2 linked regions of the Saccharomyces cerevisiae S288C genome follow. The gene in region 2 interacts genetically with the main gene of each other region. Each region holds a gene or a part of one and is shown on either strand. Other genes may lie near its edges.

Region 1 (2,672 bases), on a different chromosome or scaffold from region 2:
CGATCGTATTACATTGGGCTATAAAAAGAGATTGTCAATGATTGAAAATCAAATGCGACATCTTTTGGAGGATTTTAGTTTGGACGTTCAGCAGATTGAACCCATTCTTGCCGACTTGCAGAAGTACTACGACGCGTTTCTACAACTTTTACAGAAAAGGAACAAATCATTACAATGTAAGAGGTCCACTCACCAGCCGGTCCCATCCCCAATGAATAGCCAGACATCAACAAATGCAAAGGTTAATTTGAGCGGAAAGCTTATGAAGTTTCAGCTAAATAGTGTACAAAAGTTCGACGAAGAAAATATACTAAGGATTCTGCAAAATAAAATAGAATTCGAACATTATTTCCAAATTGATAAAGGTAAGAAGCAAAAGGTGCTATTACTTGCCGTATATCAATGCCTCAATGGGCCAACACGTTTGCATAAAGTGCTTAATATTGAGGGAATTATACATAATAATAGTATCAGAACTATACTGGGCAAACAAGTGTCCAGTTCTAAGTGGACAGTGTTTCTGTACGATGTAAAACTAGTTTTATTGGCGCATAGACAAGATGTTCCGAACTTAGAAACTAGCAAGATGATCGTCAGATATGGTGATTTATTTCCCTGTGCATTGTACTTCAAAGATCATACAGCATACTAAGCGCTTTCCAGGGACACCTTCTGTCGCAAAATATCAGAATTTTTCTTGATTAAACGCAGCATATTGAGTATATGAAATTAACGGGACACTGTGTGAAAAATTTGTAGTTGTACTTTTTTGTTATCCCCTTTGGTAGACATATGGACGAATTACTACTAAGATTGGCTTCCATAAGGCCCAAATCCAGATATCACCTACGGTATGTCCTTTTCCTACTTGCAATGACAAATAATTTGTTATTTATCTTGGAACCTATATAAGTTACATCTGATTGCTTTTGTATTTTTTTTGGAGAATATTATTACCCGCGGGGAAGGAAGTAAGGGGAGAATTTTTGAGGTGTATAAAAGAGAGTGGAGGCTTAATCAATCAAAGAATTCTTTCTCGTTTATTTTCAGGGTTTGTGACTAAGAAACGATATTAAAATGTGGAAGGCCGTGATGAATGCTTGGAATGGAACCGAGAGTCAAAGTAAGAATGTTTCAAATATTCAATCTTACAGTTTTGAAGACATGAAAAGAATCGTTGGAAAGCATGATCCTAATGTGGTTTTGGTAGATGTTAGAGAACCATCTGAGTACTCGATTGTTCATATTCCTGCTTCCATCAATGTGCCATATAGATCGCACCCTGACGCATTTGCCTTAGATCCTTTAGAATTTGAGAAACAGATTGGCATCCCAAAACCTGACAGTGCCAAGGAGCTAATATTTTATTGTGCTTCTGGCAAACGCGGGGGAGAAGCTCAAAAAGTCGCCTCCTCACATGGATATTCAAACACCTCACTATATCCTGGCTCTATGAATGATTGGGTTTCTCATGGGGGTGATAAACTTGACTTATAGCCTTGTATACTCTAGGTATGTACCCTGTGTATTTTCGTAAGCTAGTAACGTATTATGCCATTTATGTCACACCGTTCATAATATTTGCCTATTGCATTGGCTGTGATAGCGGCGGCGCAAAGAAATTAGGAAGTATAAAAAAAAAAATACAAAACTTAATCTGAATGGAATAAGATAGCGATAACTCTCAACAAATGGAAGCGAGACAGAAGAAAAAGACCAACGATGTTCAAGCATAGTACAGGTATTCTCTCGAGGACAGTTTCTGCAAGATCGCCTACATTGGTCCTGAGAACATTTACAACGAAGGCTCCAAAGATCTATACTTTTGACCAGGTCAGGAACCTAGTCGAACACCCCAATGATAAAAAACTATTGGTAGATGTAAGGGAACCCAAGGAAGTAAAGGATTACAAGATGCCAACTACAATAAATATTCCGGTGAATAGTGCCCCTGGCGCTCTTGGATTGCCCGAAAAGGAGTTTCACAAAGTTTTCCAATTTGCTAAACCACCTCACGATAAAGAATTGATTTTTCTTTGTGCGAAAGGAGTAAGAGCCAAAACTGCCGAAGAGTTGGCTCGATCTTATGGGTACGAAAACACTGGTATCTATCCTGGTTCTATTACTGAGTGGTTAGCTAAAGGTGGTGCTGACGTTAAGCCCAAAAAATAAGCCAAAAAGAAACAAGTATAATCGATATATCCTGTATATAGACAACCTTTTGTGTATTTCAAATTTTTTGTTGTCACCTCTCCGATTCATTCGATTTTCTCCTTGTGGTTCGCGGATAACCTCTTACTTCCATTAGTTTATGTGTGCGTTTATTTTTTTATCTTTCTCTATATATTACTTTAATGTGCATTCTTTTGCTTAAATACTCTACCTACGATTATGAAATTCAAATTGTTTAAACTCTTTACCCAATCTCTTCTTCCTTTTCCTTTCCATGACCTTTTCACGTTGCTTGGCCTTCATGTGATCAAATTTCCACTTTTGCACCACTTTACGTTTCTCAGACTTTTTCAAATGGTATCTCGTATTATTGTTTTTATTCATATCATTTTCGTATTCCTTGAGAATTTCACGCTCGAGATCTTTGTTTTTCATTGATTGCAATCTCGATTTCATACTTTTCAGTCTTTGTTCCATTTCTTCACGTTCTCCCTGGTCTA
Region 2 (6,991 bases):
TGGTATCGTTTAAAGGTGCGGCTATTAAAAGGGATGAATACGTGGGAAACGGTTGCATTACAGGAAAAACAGCTTTTTATCTTATTATATCTTTAAATATGTACATACGCTTGTTTATACGTGGAGGCGACAAAAAGGGTTGGTTGAAGGGAGAGAGAAAGAGACGCACAGAGATTGGAGGAGGGGCTCAGTTCGCTGATTGTTTCTTCTTCTGTGTTAGGTTTTCCAAAGTTAACCTGTCGTTGTCGTCGTCATCTTCACTGGGAGGCGTTGAGTTAGTGTTTGAATCTGAATCTGAATTTGTATTCGTGTTGTTAGAATTTGTGTCTTCATCATCTTCCTGACTGAAAAGATTTCCATTGTCATCCGGTGATTTAGCGGTAGAGTTTTCGCCCGTAAATTCGTTGGCAAACTCTGTAGCCGGAGAGGCCTCCCTGATTAGCTTCCTAGTAAACGGATCATCCAAAAAATTCTGTTTTCTTTGTCGTTGATTTTGTTTCTTTAATTCATTGCCTATTAACTTGGAGTAGAGTTTTTTGCCCAACGTTTTCTTTAGCAAGATTTCACGGACTTCGAAGTACAAGTCTCTGGAGGCGTTATTCAAATTTGTCTGGTTTTTCTTGAAATATGACCTGAATTCATTGATGTGTTTTTTGAACTCCAGTTCGTTTTTCTTCAACCAAGAAACGTTCAGCTCCTGTCTGGTAGCACCCCTTGCAAAGTTTCTCATCAAATATTTGTCATAATCTCTGATGATCTTTGTGATAATATCACTTGTAGAGACACCATTGGTTCTTTGGGTAGTCAAGAATTTTCCCATCTCCTTTATTGGCTTGTAGATATCGTCGCTGTCGGCGCTAACGTAAGGAATATCGTCATGTGCCACGTAGTCAATCTTGTGTTCTAGTAGAAATTCTGGGGTGACACACCAGGGAGCGTTGGGCACGACTTCGTCAACCCATCTGCAGTGCGTTAAAGTTTCACAACGCTGCTTATCGGTCAGCACAGTCAAACCTTTTAGTTTGTGAGTGATTTTGTCGCTAGGCACACCAACTATCAGTGTTACATTGGGGAAAGCCTTCTTACACTGTTCCAGTTGCTTCATGTGGCCAAGATGGAAAAGATCAAAAACACCATCTGCATATATCCTGATGGGTCTATCCGTTGGAGGCAAATTGAATCTGAAACCTTTAGGACGATACTTGCGCAGTTCCTTGGGCAACTCGTTGGTGTAACGAGCCTCCTTCTCTTCAAACTCCTTCGTCAACCGGCGACGCTTGCGGGGAGTGAGCTGTGTGTCCTTATTTTCATCCTGGTTCTTACTCTCATCCTTATCCTCATTGTCCTGCTCTTCCGTTTCCTCACGCTGTCTTTTATTTTTATTTTTTTTAAATAGGTTTGATAGCGATGAGTTAGAAAGCTTAGCCCTAATCGAGGACTTCCCTGTTGTTGGGTTTGCCATTTTTCTTTGTGTCTGCTGTGCTTTGTACTACCAAGAGAGAATAGCAAGAGTGAAATTTGAAAGTTAAACAATACAATAAAGAAAAGTGACTGGCGTATGCAAGAAAGGGGAATGGGTATAAAAAATACAAGAACGGCAGAAAAAATAAAAGAAACAGGAGAAACAAACAATGGTAACTGTACTAAAACCAATACCAGATATATATTTCATACTTATTAAAAAGCGTTAAGAAACGAAGCGTAAAAACGTAAGAAAAAGAATGACTATATAACGGTAGGTCTTCGACTCATTTTTTTCTTCCTACATGCAAACGACAAATACGGGTAATGCACATTTCGCTTATTGGGTTCTTCCCTTTCCTTTTTTCCATTTTTTTCTTTCTGGCTGTCGCTAGCCTTTCTACTTCCTCCGCACATACAGTTTTCAGCACAGTATAGATAGCTGTGCAGCCAGATAGAAGCAAAAGAGAAGTCAATTGCAAAAAAAATATGGACTCGTACTCAATAACAAACGTAAAATACCTGGATCCGACTGAATTGCATCGTTGGATGCAAGAAGGACACACTACTACGCTGAGGGAGCCTTTCCAGGTAGTGGATGTGCGAGGCTCAGATTATATGGGGGGCCATATCAAGGACGGATGGCACTACGCCTATTCGCGCCTTAAGCAGGATCCGGAGTACTTACGTGAGCTAAAGCACAGATTGTTGGAAAAGCAAGCGGACGGCCGCGGAGCGCTGAACGTGATTTTCCATTGTATGTTATCGCAGCAGCGCGGACCGTCTGCAGCGATGCTGCTGCTTCGGTCGCTTGACACGGCGGAACTTTCTCGCTGTCGTCTATGGGTGTTGCGTGGGGGGTTCTCGCGCTGGCAATCCGTATACGGTGACGACGAGAGCGTTACGGCGGGTTACCTACCCGATCTGTGGCGTTGACAGGTTTACACAATCGCACGTGATCATATATTTGCCATGACTCCTCCCAGTGACAATTTTGTTCTTTTTTCCTCTTTATCGCTTTCGTACTATGGTCAGTCATTCATTCATTATATACGCGCTCTCCATAACCCGTAACTTTTTATTATATATAGACTCGTTTACAATACAACGATAGCGATACCATTCAATTGAAGTTGTGAGACCAGGTAACGAGACGAACACAACTTTACAAGTCAAATAAGAAATCATGGCTGGTCAAGTGTTGGACGGCAAAGCATGCGCTCAGCAGTTTAGAAGCAATATTGCTAATGAAATCAAAAGCATTCAAGGTCACGTGCCTGGGTTTGCACCTAACCTTGCCATCATTCAAGTAGGCAACAGACCAGACTCAGCCACATATGTACGCATGAAGCGTAAGGCAGCTGAAGAGGCCGGCATTGTTGCTAATTTCATTCATTTAGATGAATCCGCTACTGAATTTGAAGTTCTGCGTTACGTGGACCAGCTGAATGAGGACCCACATACACACGGTATTATCGTGCAACTACCATTACCCGCTCATTTGGACGAGGATAGAATCACCTCGAGAGTGTTGGCAGAAAAGGACGTGGACGGGTTCGGGCCCACCAACATTGGCGAATTGAATAAGAAGAACGGACACCCATTCTTTTTGCCCTGCACGCCCAAGGGGATCATTGAGCTGCTTCACAAGGCCAACGTCACGATTGAAGGTTCCCGGTCCGTTGTGATCGGAAGATCTGACATTGTTGGCTCTCCTGTTGCAGAATTGTTAAAATCTCTAAACTCCACCGTCACCATCACTCATTCTAAAACCCGTGATATCGCATCATACTTACACGACGCGGACATCGTAGTCGTTGCCATCGGCCAACCAGAATTTGTGAAGGGTGAATGGTTCAAACCAAGAGACGGCACTTCCAGTGATAAGAAAACCGTGGTAATTGATGTTGGCACCAACTACGTTGCTGATCCTTCCAAAAAGTCCGGTTTCAAATGTGTTGGTGACGTTGAGTTCAATGAAGCAATCAAATACGTCCATCTAATCACTCCAGTGCCCGGTGGTGTGGGCCCCATGACGGTGGCTATGTTAATGCAAAATACCTTGATTGCTGCCAAACGCCAAATGGAAGAATCCTCGAAGCCTTTGCAGATTCCTCCCTTGCCATTGAAGTTGCTAACACCTGTTCCTTCCGATATAGACATCTCCAGAGCACAACAGCCAAAGCTTATCAACCAGCTTGCTCAAGAATTGGGTATTTACTCTCATGAGTTGGAGCTGTACGGACATTACAAGGCCAAAATTTCTCCTAAAGTCATCGAAAGGCTGCAGACGCGCCAAAATGGTAAGTACATCTTGGTGTCTGGTATCACACCAACACCACTGGGAGAGGGTAAATCCACTACAACAATGGGTCTTGTCCAGGCACTAACGGCTCACTTGGGCAAGCCAGCCATTGCGAACGTCAGACAACCCTCCCTAGGACCCACTTTAGGTGTCAAAGGTGGTGCTGCGGGTGGTGGTTATTCCCAAGTCATCCCAATGGACGAATTCAACTTACATTTGACTGGTGACATTCACGCCATTGGTGCGGCTAACAACCTACTTGCTGCCGCTATTGACACTAGAATGTTCCATGAGACCACTCAAAAGAACGACGCTACCTTCTACAACAGACTAGTGCCTAGAAAGAACGGAAAGAGAAAGTTTACTCCCTCCATGCAAAGAAGATTGAACAGACTGGGTATTCAAAAGACCAACCCCGATGATCTAACACCCGAAGAGATCAACAAATTCGCCAGATTGAACATTGACCCGGACACTATTACTATCAAGAGGGTGGTCGATATCAACGACAGAATGTTAAGACAAATCACCATTGGTCAAGCCCCTACCGAGAAGAACCACACAAGAGTTACTGGATTCGATATCACCGTTGCTTCTGAATTGATGGCTATTCTTGCTCTTTCAAAGGACTTGAGGGACATGAAGGAACGTATTGGAAGAGTCGTTGTTGCTGCTGACGTAAACAGGTCTCCAGTCACTGTTGAAGATGTGGGTTGTACCGGTGCCTTAACCGCTTTATTAAGAGACGCTATCAAGCCCAACTTGATGCAAACTTTAGAAGGTACTCCTGTCTTGGTCCATGCCGGCCCATTTGCCAACATCTCTATCGGTGCCTCTTCTGTTATTGCTGATCGCGTGGCTTTGAAATTGGTTGGTACCGAGCCAGAGGCAAAAACAGAAGCTGGTTATGTGGTTACTGAAGCAGGGTTCGATTTCACTATGGGTGGTGAAAGATTCTTCAACATCAAGTGCCGTTCCTCTGGATTGACACCTAATGCTGTGGTCTTGGTTGCTACTGTTAGGGCATTGAAGTCACACGGTGGTGCTCCAGATGTCAAACCTGGCCAACCTTTACCTTCCGCATACACTGAAGAGAATATCGAGTTTGTCGAAAAAGGTGCCGCTAACATGTGTAAACAAATTGCCAACATTAAGCAATTTGGCGTCCCCGTCGTTGTCGCAATTAACAAGTTTGAAACTGACACTGAAGGTGAAATAGCCGCCATTAGAAAAGCCGCTTTGGAAGCTGGTGCATTTGAAGCCGTAACCTCTAACCATTGGGCCGAAGGTGGTAAAGGTGCTATCGACTTGGCCAAGGCCGTCATCGAAGCTTCCAACCAACCAGTGGACTTCCATTTCCTATATGACGTTAACTCCTCCGTTGAAGACAAATTAACTACTATCGTTCAAAAGATGTACGGTGGTGCCGCAATCGATATCTTGCCTGAAGCACAACGCAAGATTGACATGTACAAGGAACAAGGTTTCGGTAACTTGCCAATTTGTATCGCCAAGACACAATACTCTTTATCCCACGATGCAACTTTGAAAGGTGTTCCAACCGGGTTCACTTTCCCCATCAGAGACGTCAGATTGTCTAATGGTGCTGGATACTTATACGCTCTTGCCGCCGAAATACAAACCATTCCTGGTTTGGCTACCTATGCTGGTTACATGGCCGTGGAAGTCGATGATGACGGTGAGATCGATGGCCTGTTCTAAGACAACTTAATTATATAGAATTTAATAAAGACAAATGCAAAAGTTTTTTTAAAGTATGGATGTATAATAATAATAACGATAATACGAACACTATTGGGACTAATAATGATTTATAGTTTTTTTTACACAGGGGATTTAACGTTCCGCGACCCTTTTTCCTTTAATTTAACCCCAGTTCCTTAACGTCGAAAATTTCCGATTCCGTTAAGGAGGAGAAAACCTAATTACCAAACGAAGCGGGGAGACGCATTAATGAGAACAATAAATGTATGAAACTTTTAGCAATCTAAATGATACTATACCAAGACAAGCGAACACTGGCTAGCACAATATTTGGGCGGAACGAAATAAAATAACGAAGATATACATAAGACACAAAGGAAAAAGCGTTCCATTGCATCTCTGAAGTGAATAATATAAAAAGTAGTAAAGCTAGAAATGTGTGATAAGTCAAAAACGGTATTGGACTACACGATAGAATTCTTGGATAAATATATACCTGAATGGTTTGAGACGGGAAATAAATGCCCCTTGTTCATTTTCTTCTCGGGCCCACAAGGCTCAGGCAAAAGTTTTACAAGTATCCAAATCTATAACCATTTGATGGAAAAATATGGGGGTGAAAAATCTATCGGTTACGCCTCAATTGATGATTTTTATTTAACTCACGAGGACCAATTGAAACTCAATGAGCAATTCAAGAACAATAAGCTGTTACAAGGACGTGGTTTACCAGGTACTCATGATATGAAATTGTTGCAAGAGGTATTGAACACCATCTTCAATAATAATGAACATCCGGATCAAGATACTGTCGTACTACCCAAGTACGATAAATCCCAATTTAAAGGAGAAGGGGACCGTTGCCCCACTGGTCAAAAAATCAAGCTACCAGTCGATATTTTTATCTTAGAAGGTTGGTTCCTCGGGTTCAACCCCATTTTGCAAGGAATTGAGAATAATGATCTTCTTACTGGGGACATGGTTGATGTCAATGCCAAGCTCTTCTTCTATAGCGACTTGTTGTGGCGCAACCCAGAAATCAAATCTTTAGGGATAGTATTCACCACCGATAACATTAACAATGTTTATGGCTGGAGACTACAACAGGAGCATGAACTAATATCAAAGGTCGGAAAGGGGATGACCGACGAACAAGTGCATGCTTTTGTGGATAGATACATGCCCTCCTATAAACTTTATTTGAACGACTTTGTCCGGAGTGAAAGTTTAGGTTCCATTGCTACATTGACGTTAGGAATCGACTCCAACAGGAATGTATATTCTACGAAAACGAGATGTATTGAATAGTGATGTTATGACCTTTTTTTTTACGCCTTTTTTTTTTTTTTTTTTTTTTTTAATTTATCTCACTTTTCCCTTCTATTTTATGTACTAACAGATAATTTTATAATGATTTCATGTATTTTTGGTTCAGAATTTTGACAAGGCAACTCTTGAATAATTGTCGTATGCAAAAAAAATTGTTTATCTGTTACATAT

The links. A genetic interaction does not mean that the proteins touch.
Region 1: of YCH1 (region 2) and RDL2, changing one enhances a phenotype caused by changing the other (phenotypic enhancement), as found in Saccharomyces cerevisiae (one study listed by BioGRID).

What each region holds. Positions count from the first base shown.
Region 1 is NC_001147.6:848,558-851,229, forward strand, and holds RDL2 (thiosulfate sulfurtransferase RDL2), read left to right. Parts: upstream 1-1,722; coding exon 1,723-2,172; downstream 2,173-2,672. Other genes in the region: HUA2 (Hua2p), read left to right, coding at 1-652; thiosulfate sulfurtransferase RDL1, read left to right, coding at 1,078-1,497; rRNA-processing protein RRP36, read right to left, coding at 2,380-2,672. UniProt on the Saccharomyces cerevisiae protein: Thiosulfate sulfurtransferase which catalyzes the transfer of sulfane sulfur from thiosulfate to cyanide.
Region 2 is NC_001139.9:903,287-910,277, forward strand, and holds YCH1 (phosphatase YCH1), read left to right. Parts: upstream 1-1,950; coding exon 1,951-2,397; downstream 2,398-6,991. Other genes in the region: PCT1 (choline-phosphate cytidylyltransferase), read right to left, coding at 188-1,462; trifunctional formate-tetrahydrofolate ligase/methenyltetrahydrofolate cyclohydrolase/methylenetetrahydrofolate dehydrogenase ADE3, read left to right, coding at 2,648-5,488; YGR204C-A (uncharacterized protein), read right to left, coding at 5,775-5,888; TDA10 (putative ATP-dependent kinase), read left to right, coding at 5,927-6,799. UniProt on the Saccharomyces cerevisiae protein: Protein phosphatase.